Nothobranchius furzeri: one gene and its partner. The protein of the gene in region 2 interacts with the protein of the main gene of each other region in a pairwise test. Links are inferred from orthologs where the notes say so. Each region holds a gene or a part of one and is shown on either strand. Other genes may lie near its edges.

Region 1 (4,451 bases), on a different chromosome or scaffold from region 2:
TGCTGATGGTGGGCTCTTCAGTCCTCTGCTCCTCCAGCAGCACCCCTCTCAGCTCTGCCTGCACCTCTGAAGCCGCTGCAGGCCCCTCCTCCAGCTCCTGAACCTCAGTGTGGTTACTCTCGTCATCATTGTCGTCCTCGTCATCCTCCACTCCCCTCCTCGGCTTTTCTCTCATCAGCTGCTCAGTCAGCTCCACACTCTCGTAGCGGATCAGCTGCAGTCGCATGAACCCATCCTCGTGCTCTTTGTACCTGACAGGTTGATGGAAGACATCACATACAAAATACACAACAGGAACTTCTGCTGAAGCAGGAGACCAACCTGAATCTGGGGTGTCCAGAAGGCCATTTGAATTGATGCTTCTTGTGCAGATGGACGGTCAGACTGTTGCCTCTGGTGAAACACTGGCCACACACGTGACACTTGTAGCGAGCTGTAAAACTCTTCTGGTTTCAGGGAGAAAATAAAACATTATCATCTAAAATAAGAAGAATCTGTGAGAGCTTTAAAGTCTTAAACTTTCTCCTCATCAAACCCCGGTGGTGAGAACGTCTCACCCCATAAGGCTGCCAAAGTTCACCTCGTGCTCTTTTTGGTTGTGGATCTTCATGGTGCAGGACGAACGACAGGTGAAGCCACACCCGGGAACGTCACAGCGAAATGCTGGATCGCTGCTGTGGGTGTCCAGGTGTTTACGCAGGTCGATCAGATTCTTACAGCTACAAAAACAAGAGGCAGGCATCATCAGGTGGAGCTTTCACCTTAATGATCCGAGTGTGAGCAGACAAAGAAGAAGAGATACCTGTATTCGCAATAGTCACAGCTGTAGGGCTTCTCGTTGCTATGGCGAAACTTGATGTGGCTGCGCAGTGCTGAGGGCGATGGGCAGGTCATGTCACACAACGGGCATTTGTAGTGGCTCACTGTCCCAACAGGAAAAACAAACCAGTAACTTGATTACTTTTCCCACATTGAGACTACTGAAACAGAGCTGCTTTTATTTACAACTTATTAACATTCAATAAAGAGGTTGCTAGGCAGATTAATGGTGGACAGGGAGTAAAGATCACAGTTTCAAAGACTCACCGTGGGTCCTCATGTGGTCTCTCAGCAGTCGTTCTGTTGCAAAACGTTTGGAGCAGTGAGAACACTGGAATCTCTGACCTACAGCACACACACACGCACACACACACACACACAAACACACACACACATTTTATTACAAAGCTACAGAATTGTAATTTGAATCTTTCTTTTTTGAATAACGAGGTCTCAGTCCTGTGATAAAAGATGAATTAAAAAGAAGATATTTCAGATTTTAACTACAGCCTCACATTTAAATAGTGAGTTTTGGTGAAAATGATTTAAATGCTTAGTGGGCAACGGAAGTCATTACCACACAACAGTTCACTTATTTCTAAACACCAGTTAGGACTCAGGAAGAAACACGATGACAAGCTGAAGAGTTTAGAACAACTTCTGCTCATATGAATTTGATTTAAGTGTCAGTTGACCACAATACACTGGAGAGCAGAACACAAATTATTATTTCAATGTGATAGTTTTCAAGTGATTGGTCAGCTCAAACACATTGTTTCCACTATGCTGAGTCTCTCTCATTACCAAGGGAGCTCTTCAGAGCTCTGTACTGGGATCACCTTATAGAAAAAAAGTATGTAGTTGTTCTTGCTGCTCTGTTTTAGCACATGCAGTTAATCATCTACATACGCTGAATACCGGTAAGTGAGTGAGTGTGTCACTGGTCTATATGGGGCCCTGTGATGGACTGGCGACCTATCCAGGCCGATGACCACGAGAGACAGAGACCAGCTCCCCGTAAGCCTAGTGAGGATGGAGCGGTTAAGATCATGGATGTTATGTATTATACTTATTGTTTTTCTTTACGGTCTTCTTGGCCAAGCATTTTCTCGAAAACAATGACTGTAAGAAATTACCTTCCATAGCACTCTGTCGTATAATGTGGTCAAAGAATTTAGTGTTGTTGGCGTACATCCCCCCACAGCCCGGACAGGCCACCAGCTTCTCCTGGGTGTGGCTACGCAGGTGTTCCCTGAGCTTCGGACGCCCTTTAGCCGTAGCTTCACAATCTACAAAACAAGATCCCCTTTTAAGTACTGCCCTGAATAATTCTGACTGTAAATAATTATATTGAGATGTTAAATACCTTTCCATCCACAGCGTATGGAGAACTCACTGTCTCCAGTTGGGATATCTACACACACTGAGTGCATTTCCACATGGCGGTAGAACCACTCGGGGTTTTCGTAGGGAGGTTGCTTTAACAAAGACAAAAAGATAAAATAAGTTAGAAGTAAAATGTAGGAAGCTGTTTACTTTTGTGAGTCTGGAGGAAAAAGTAGGGGAAAAGTCTGGAATCAAAACAAGCAATGGATCCAAGAAAATGATCAATACGTATGAACAATTCCAAGATACTGGAAGAAGACTATTAACGGAAACTGGTTTATGAATCCCGTCTCACTTCACAATCCTCCCACAGACAGATGAAGTTATCAGGGATGTCTGGGATGATGTTGCGGTTGTGGTAGGCGATGGAGCAGCTGCCCAGCTCTGGCTGAGCATCCAGGACCTGCTGACCCAGCTGCTTCAGCTTGGTGTGGTAGCAGTGAAACAGGAGGTGTCTGCGAAGTTCTTCAAACCCATCAACAGAGCAGAACCCGCAGTCTCTCCAGGGACACATTCTGTCCTCTGGACAGAAAAAAAAACACAACAACCAGGCTGTTTAAAATCTAAACAGACATGACGTTTCAATCAGGTGGACTCACCTCCTGCTTCCACGTCCTCCTCCGTGTTCAAACACGTCAGATGTTCCTCCACATGTTTACAAAAGTTTTCCATCTGACTGGATAATTCCTGACACGAACCCCATTCACAGCTCAATTTGAGCATTTTTCTCTGAATGCGCCTTTTAGGAGGCATCTCTCGGAGTCAGTTAGCCGGAAGGCTGCGTTTGACTCCTAGCCGCTACTTCCTGCGAGCTAACTTCCACAGAGCAGAACTGAAACGCGTCTGAAACATTCAGCAGATAAAACGGGCAGAAAAAATAAATAAACTAACCTTTAAAAGCATTAAATTATCTGACAACAGGCGCTACGTGGGTAAGATGCATTATTTCTGATCGGTTACCAGACGCGCGGGTTGTGTGCAACAGCATATGATCACCGGCTGAAACACAACGTAGTTCCATCGTTCCGTGTTAATTTAGCTTATGTCTGTGAAGGTTCTCAGTCATCCAGGTCAATGTAGTCTAAGGAGCTTGAAAGAAAAGCGTCTGGACTTCTTTAAGTTGCTTGAAGAAGTTTCGCCTCTCATCCGAGAGGCTTCTTCAGTTCTAAGGTCAAATGGTGGAGAGTCCCAGATTTAAACCCAGTGGGAGTTTCCCACCGAAGAGGGAACAATGGACTCTTAAAGCGTCTTATAATCCATTTAGGTTTGAAATAGTACAGATGTTTTTAAACAAAAAAATATAAAGTCAAAGACAGACCAATGAAAAATATTGGCTTAACAGAAACGGAGACTGGTGAGAACCGTCAGAGACGACCTGAATATTACTGAAAATCTGTGGTGTGAGTTAAGGAAAGCTGGCTATGCACAGACGTCATCACACCTGGAGATGTGTTGTAAAGGAGAAGGTCCAAAACACCTTCAACCAGAAGCCAGATTCTCATTAGAAGCTATAGGAAGAGTTTAGAGGCTGCTATTTCTGCAAAAGGAGGATCTACTAAATCAGTGGTGCTCAATAGGCGGCTCGGGGGGCCACAGAGGGGCCCCCAAACCCCGTGTGCTGTCACATAGAGGGCTGGTGTAATGAACAGCCAGCAGCAGCGTGAGAGCAGCTTGTTTTTTTTCTTTTTCTTTAACTGAAACAAACCCAACGTTGAAAAGTTCTGAAACTCAAGACTCAAGACTCAAGACAACTTTATTAGTCCCCGAGGGGCAATTCGAGACAGCATTGTGAAGCAGCCGGCACTAAAATCTCTAAATTCTAAAAACACATCCAAATTACACATTTGTAAAACCCATAAAAACCTATATACACAATCATATCATAAACTCACATGTGAATGACCAACAATGATTAAAACTTTGGCTCACTCACACACACACACACACACACACACACACATGTAACTATATGCACGCACACATACAAGTAATGCACACGCCCCCTATCTGCACTGAGAATTAAGAAGAAGCACAGCTCTGGGAACAAAGGAACTTCTCCTCCTCTGTGTTTTACAGCATGGGCATCGAAAGCATTATCGATTTGTTTCTTTTTTTAAACTGTTTCTGGAATCCTTCGACTGATGCCGCCATTGAAAACAATGCTACACATTTTTTTTAAAAACTGTTCCAAATCTGTGATTTATGAGAAGACCCTTTCAACCTTCAAGCGGGCACTTTAACCACAT
Region 2 (3,813 bases):
TCTCCCGCTCCTTCCTGACGCATGCTGTCCTTCAGCGGGGTGCCTGTCCTGGCGATGGCAGCGCGGGACAGAATCATGAGGGTGTGTGCAGCCATGTTAATGCTATTCTCGCTCCCTGCTTCACTTGCAGGGCTGCAGGTGGGTACATCTGAGGCGTTTGGAGGTATTAGGTGCCTGGGGGTGCTTTCACCCTCTTTGCCTTTTCTGTGTCGGGATGGAGTCCTGGGACAATCAGCTGGAGTTTCAATGGTTCGGTCCGTCCCAGGGAGACGGAGCTCTGGACTGCCAGCACCAGGTTTTTTGACTGGAGTGGATGGGGAGCCGAGTCCTTGCAGCATTTCAACCGCCTGTTTGGCCAGAGAGCTGGCCTTTGATGGGGGCTTTGGGGTGTTAGGTTGGGTGCGAGGGGACGGCTGTGTGACAGCTGGAGGACTGAAGTCTCTTGATGCAGAGGAGGAAGGCGCCGACGGCTGCTGCGGCTCCGGCACGCTTCCCTTCATCTCATTCTCCTTGTTGGAGCGAACGTTAGGCACCTCCTGGGAGGGAGTCCTCTTTTCTGGTCGCCCCTCACGTAGCCTCGCAGGAGCCTTGTCCGCCGCTTCTTTCCTGCTGCCCTCTTCTCTGTCCTTTCTGCTTCCTGGTTTTAGTGCAGACTCATTGGACCTGGACCCACGAGCATCTTTAGCTTTAACTCCACCGTTACATCCATCAGCTGTTGATGCTTCCTCTGGTTCGGACCGCTTCTCAGCTTCCGGATCTTTGTCGTGAACGCTGTACACCTGCTTGCGAGCGTTCTTTTTAACAGAATCCTTCTGCTGCATCTGTGGAGGGACAGACTGTTTCAGCGAAGTCGCTCCGGCCCGAGGAGCAGATGTACATTGGACCGGCGCTATCCTCCGTTTGGGTTTGTTGCCACCCAGAATGTTGGGTTTTGTCCTCCCGTCCTTCTCAGGCTGCTGCTCAGGTTGCGATGCAGATGTTTTTGAGGCAGCTGGGGAGGTTTCAGTTTCAGTTGCTTTAGCAGACTGTGGCTGAATTTCAGGCGACGAGGAATCAAAACACAAAATCCTCTTGTGGCTGGAACTTTTCGTTGCATCCTGCTGGCGCGACTTTTCACCCTGAACCACGGCTGCCACCCTTTTATCAGCTCCTGGAACCACAGGTCATCAGAGTCAGACGTTGAGTTGAAAGGGCTGCTGCGGTTTCATCAGTAACTCACCTGAAGCTGGTTTGGTTGCCACTGTGGTGGGACTGGATTCTTTCTGCTGTACTGGTGCAGGGTTTGATGGGTCAACAAGCTGCAAATCCAACAATGAGCCGAAGCATCAACAAAATGATCGACGTCCGTTTCTAACCGTAAACAATAACGTAGGCTTACCTGGAGCTGTGTTCCTGCTGCGCTCTGCCCCAACACAGAAACAGGAAGCACCACAGGCTTCATGGGTGATGGGAGGATAAATGCTGAGCCTGCACAAAACAAAAAGACATTTTATTCTAATAACTCTAATCACATAAAAGTTGTGAAAAATACCCTAACAATTCTATCCATAAAGGACAACACATATGTGATCCCTCTCCCGCAGCATGGACTTAACTTCCTTTATTAATCTATGAACACCCTTTCCCCCTTTTTGGTACAAAAATATCCCGTATAAATGATCAAATACGCTTTATTACTATAAAAAACACTTATCTCTAATTATCTGCAGTTTGCTTTCCTATAAGACTATTTTTGCAACATAAATATCTTAATTAAATCCTAGATTATTTTATTTCAAATTAAAATCACAGATAAATTTAATGCAACACATAAATAATAAAATAATTTCTTTGTTGCAAATGACATTTTTATCCTGTCAGGATAAACTTTCTCTGAAACCACAAGTTTTAATTGTAACTTGTTGCACATAAAAACAACACCTGCGCACCGTTTCCTAACATCAATCACTGTTACGTCAGACAAACTAGAGGTAGTTCGAGTCTATTCAGGAACAGCTGAAGTCTTGCTCTCACCTGTGGAGAAGCTTTGAGGGTATATGGGCGTCGTCCCCCTGTGCTGATTGGCAGGTAAAGGTGAGCCATGTGAGACACCAGCAGGAAGTAGCACCTGTCTGGGCTGAACATCTGTAGTTGGAGTCAAAAGGTAAAAGCTGGCAGCAGCGGCTTGCAATCCGGGGCTGGCGGCGTCCACGGGAAGCTGAACTATAAATCTCTGCTGGTTCTGAGGTGTCCCGACGAACGGAGCGGTGTTGACTGCTGCAGCTTTACAGCTGAGAGGAGTGCCACATGCCTCTGAGCTTTGCAGGCCACTCACAGCCTGCGCCACCTCATCATAGTTGGCTTTTGGAGTGGCGGGGCACTCGGGGGACTTGGCTGGGGAGGAAAGGTAGATGGTGGGTATCTTGTCCCCAGAAATGCTGGAGATAGCCCGACTCAAGGCTGCGTCGCTGGAAGCATCCTCATCCTGGCTGTCACTCACGATGATCTTTAAGGACACCATGTTGCTGGAGTCTGTCGCCATGCATAAGGTGGAGGGGTGGGTGGCTGAGGGAGTGGGCGTCGCTGCAACCGGAGCACAGGAGAATGCAGGTGAGAGAGGAGTTGCTGAGGTGGATGAGGCTGGTGCAAGGATGGGAGCCGATGATGATGGCGAGGTAACTGTGACTGAAACAGCTGTAGCAGGGACAGATGATGCAGCCAGTGTGTTTTCAGTGGCTGAACCTGATGGACGAGGCGTGCAACCAGCCACTGAACTAAAAAAATCAGGCTGATCCATCACAGGAAAAGAAATTATTTTAGACAGTTGCTCATTTGATGTTTTGTTTACATTTGAGGCATCTGTAAATGTGGTGGGACCGTCGGCTGAAGGCACGGGGACCGATTTACCCAGACAAGAGGCGGTGGAGGTGCTGGTGTGCTCCTGAGAAACCAGACTGTCTAAAGGAGGGGGAGGAGGTGTGTGCAGCGGTTCATCAATATCCATTTGTGTTACACCCCCACTATCAATCAGAAGATTAGGTTTTTCTTTCCTCCCGGAGTTCAGTGCAGCAGATGTGGCCCCTTGGGGGTCCCCGTGAGTCACCAATAGTCTGGCAGAGCTGTTCTCAATCCTGGAAGCCCGGCCGCCGGAGTCCAGGACAGTTTTTTTCACTACAGTGGACACGGTGGACTTCCTGGTCTTACGCTCTGGAGCAGCCCTGATCTCCGGAGCAGCCCTGACCTTTAAAGCAGCTGGCTGGATGCCAGACACACTGGCGTCAACATGTGTTGGACCTGAAAAACAAATAACAGTGATACAAATTTGAGATTCTGTCTACAAAATCATAATCGGATCACTTCTTAAAGCCTTAAGCAGACAGAAAAGAATGCTTTCTAATAGGCTGCTGCAGCTCCATGGCAACAAATCCCTTTAACTTTATTTGTATGGCTCATTTTAAAACACAAATATAAATCAAAACACTTAAAGACAAAAATACCCTCAACATGACTCTGAAGGGGCTGGACAGCAGATGAAGCTTGAGCTGCCTCATCCAGACTACTGCCCGTGTGTCCATCAACTGCTTCCTCATCAGGTGATTTAGTTTTATCTGCAAATGTAAAATCATTTCATCAACTTTAACAGAGCCTTCCCAGGACTCGGAATAAATAGATGTAGATTATAGTTACTGTAATCAAAGAGGTCAAAGAGGGCCTGAAACGCTGGATCGGACTCTGTTTGCTCCAAAATGTCATGAATGGCGTCATCACTCATATGGATTTCCCCCTGATAAAAAGATACACACTTAAATAAGTTTAGCATCACACAAATAGGAT

The links.
Region 1: the proteins of npat (region 2) and hinfp interact in a two-hybrid assay, tested with the Homo sapiens proteins (2 studies listed by BioGRID). The link is inferred for Nothobranchius furzeri from reciprocal best matches to the Homo sapiens genes NPAT and HINFP.

The regions. Positions count from the first base shown.
Region 1 is NC_091750.1:47,350,653-47,355,103, forward strand, and holds the start of hinfp (histone H4 transcription factor), read right to left. Parts: upstream 3,092-4,451; 5' UTR 2,959-3,091; coding exon 2,805-2,958; intron 2,728-2,804; coding exon 2,501-2,727; intron 2,298-2,500; coding exon 2,186-2,297; intron 2,109-2,185; coding exon 1,956-2,108; intron 1,165-1,955; coding exon 1,087-1,164; intron 924-1,086; coding exon 803-923; intron 720-802; coding exon 581-719; intron 447-580; coding exon 322-446; intron 252-321; coding exon 1-251. UniProt on the Homo sapiens protein: Transcriptional repressor that binds to the consensus sequence 5'-CGGACGTT-3' and to the RB1 promoter. Transcriptional activator that promotes histone H4 gene transcription at the G1/S phase transition in conjunction with NPAT.
Region 2 is NC_091753.1:29,162,543-29,166,355, reverse strand, and holds part of npat (protein NPAT), read right to left. Parts: intron 3,764-3,813; coding exon 3,667-3,763; intron 3,588-3,666; coding exon 3,477-3,587; intron 3,274-3,476; coding exon 2,014-3,273; intron 1,468-2,013; coding exon 1,379-1,467; intron 1,299-1,378; coding exon 1,220-1,298; intron 1,151-1,219; coding exon 1-1,150. UniProt on the Homo sapiens protein: Required for progression through the G1 and S phases of the cell cycle and for S phase entry. Activates transcription of the histone H2A, histone H2B, histone H3 and histone H4 genes in conjunction with MIZF.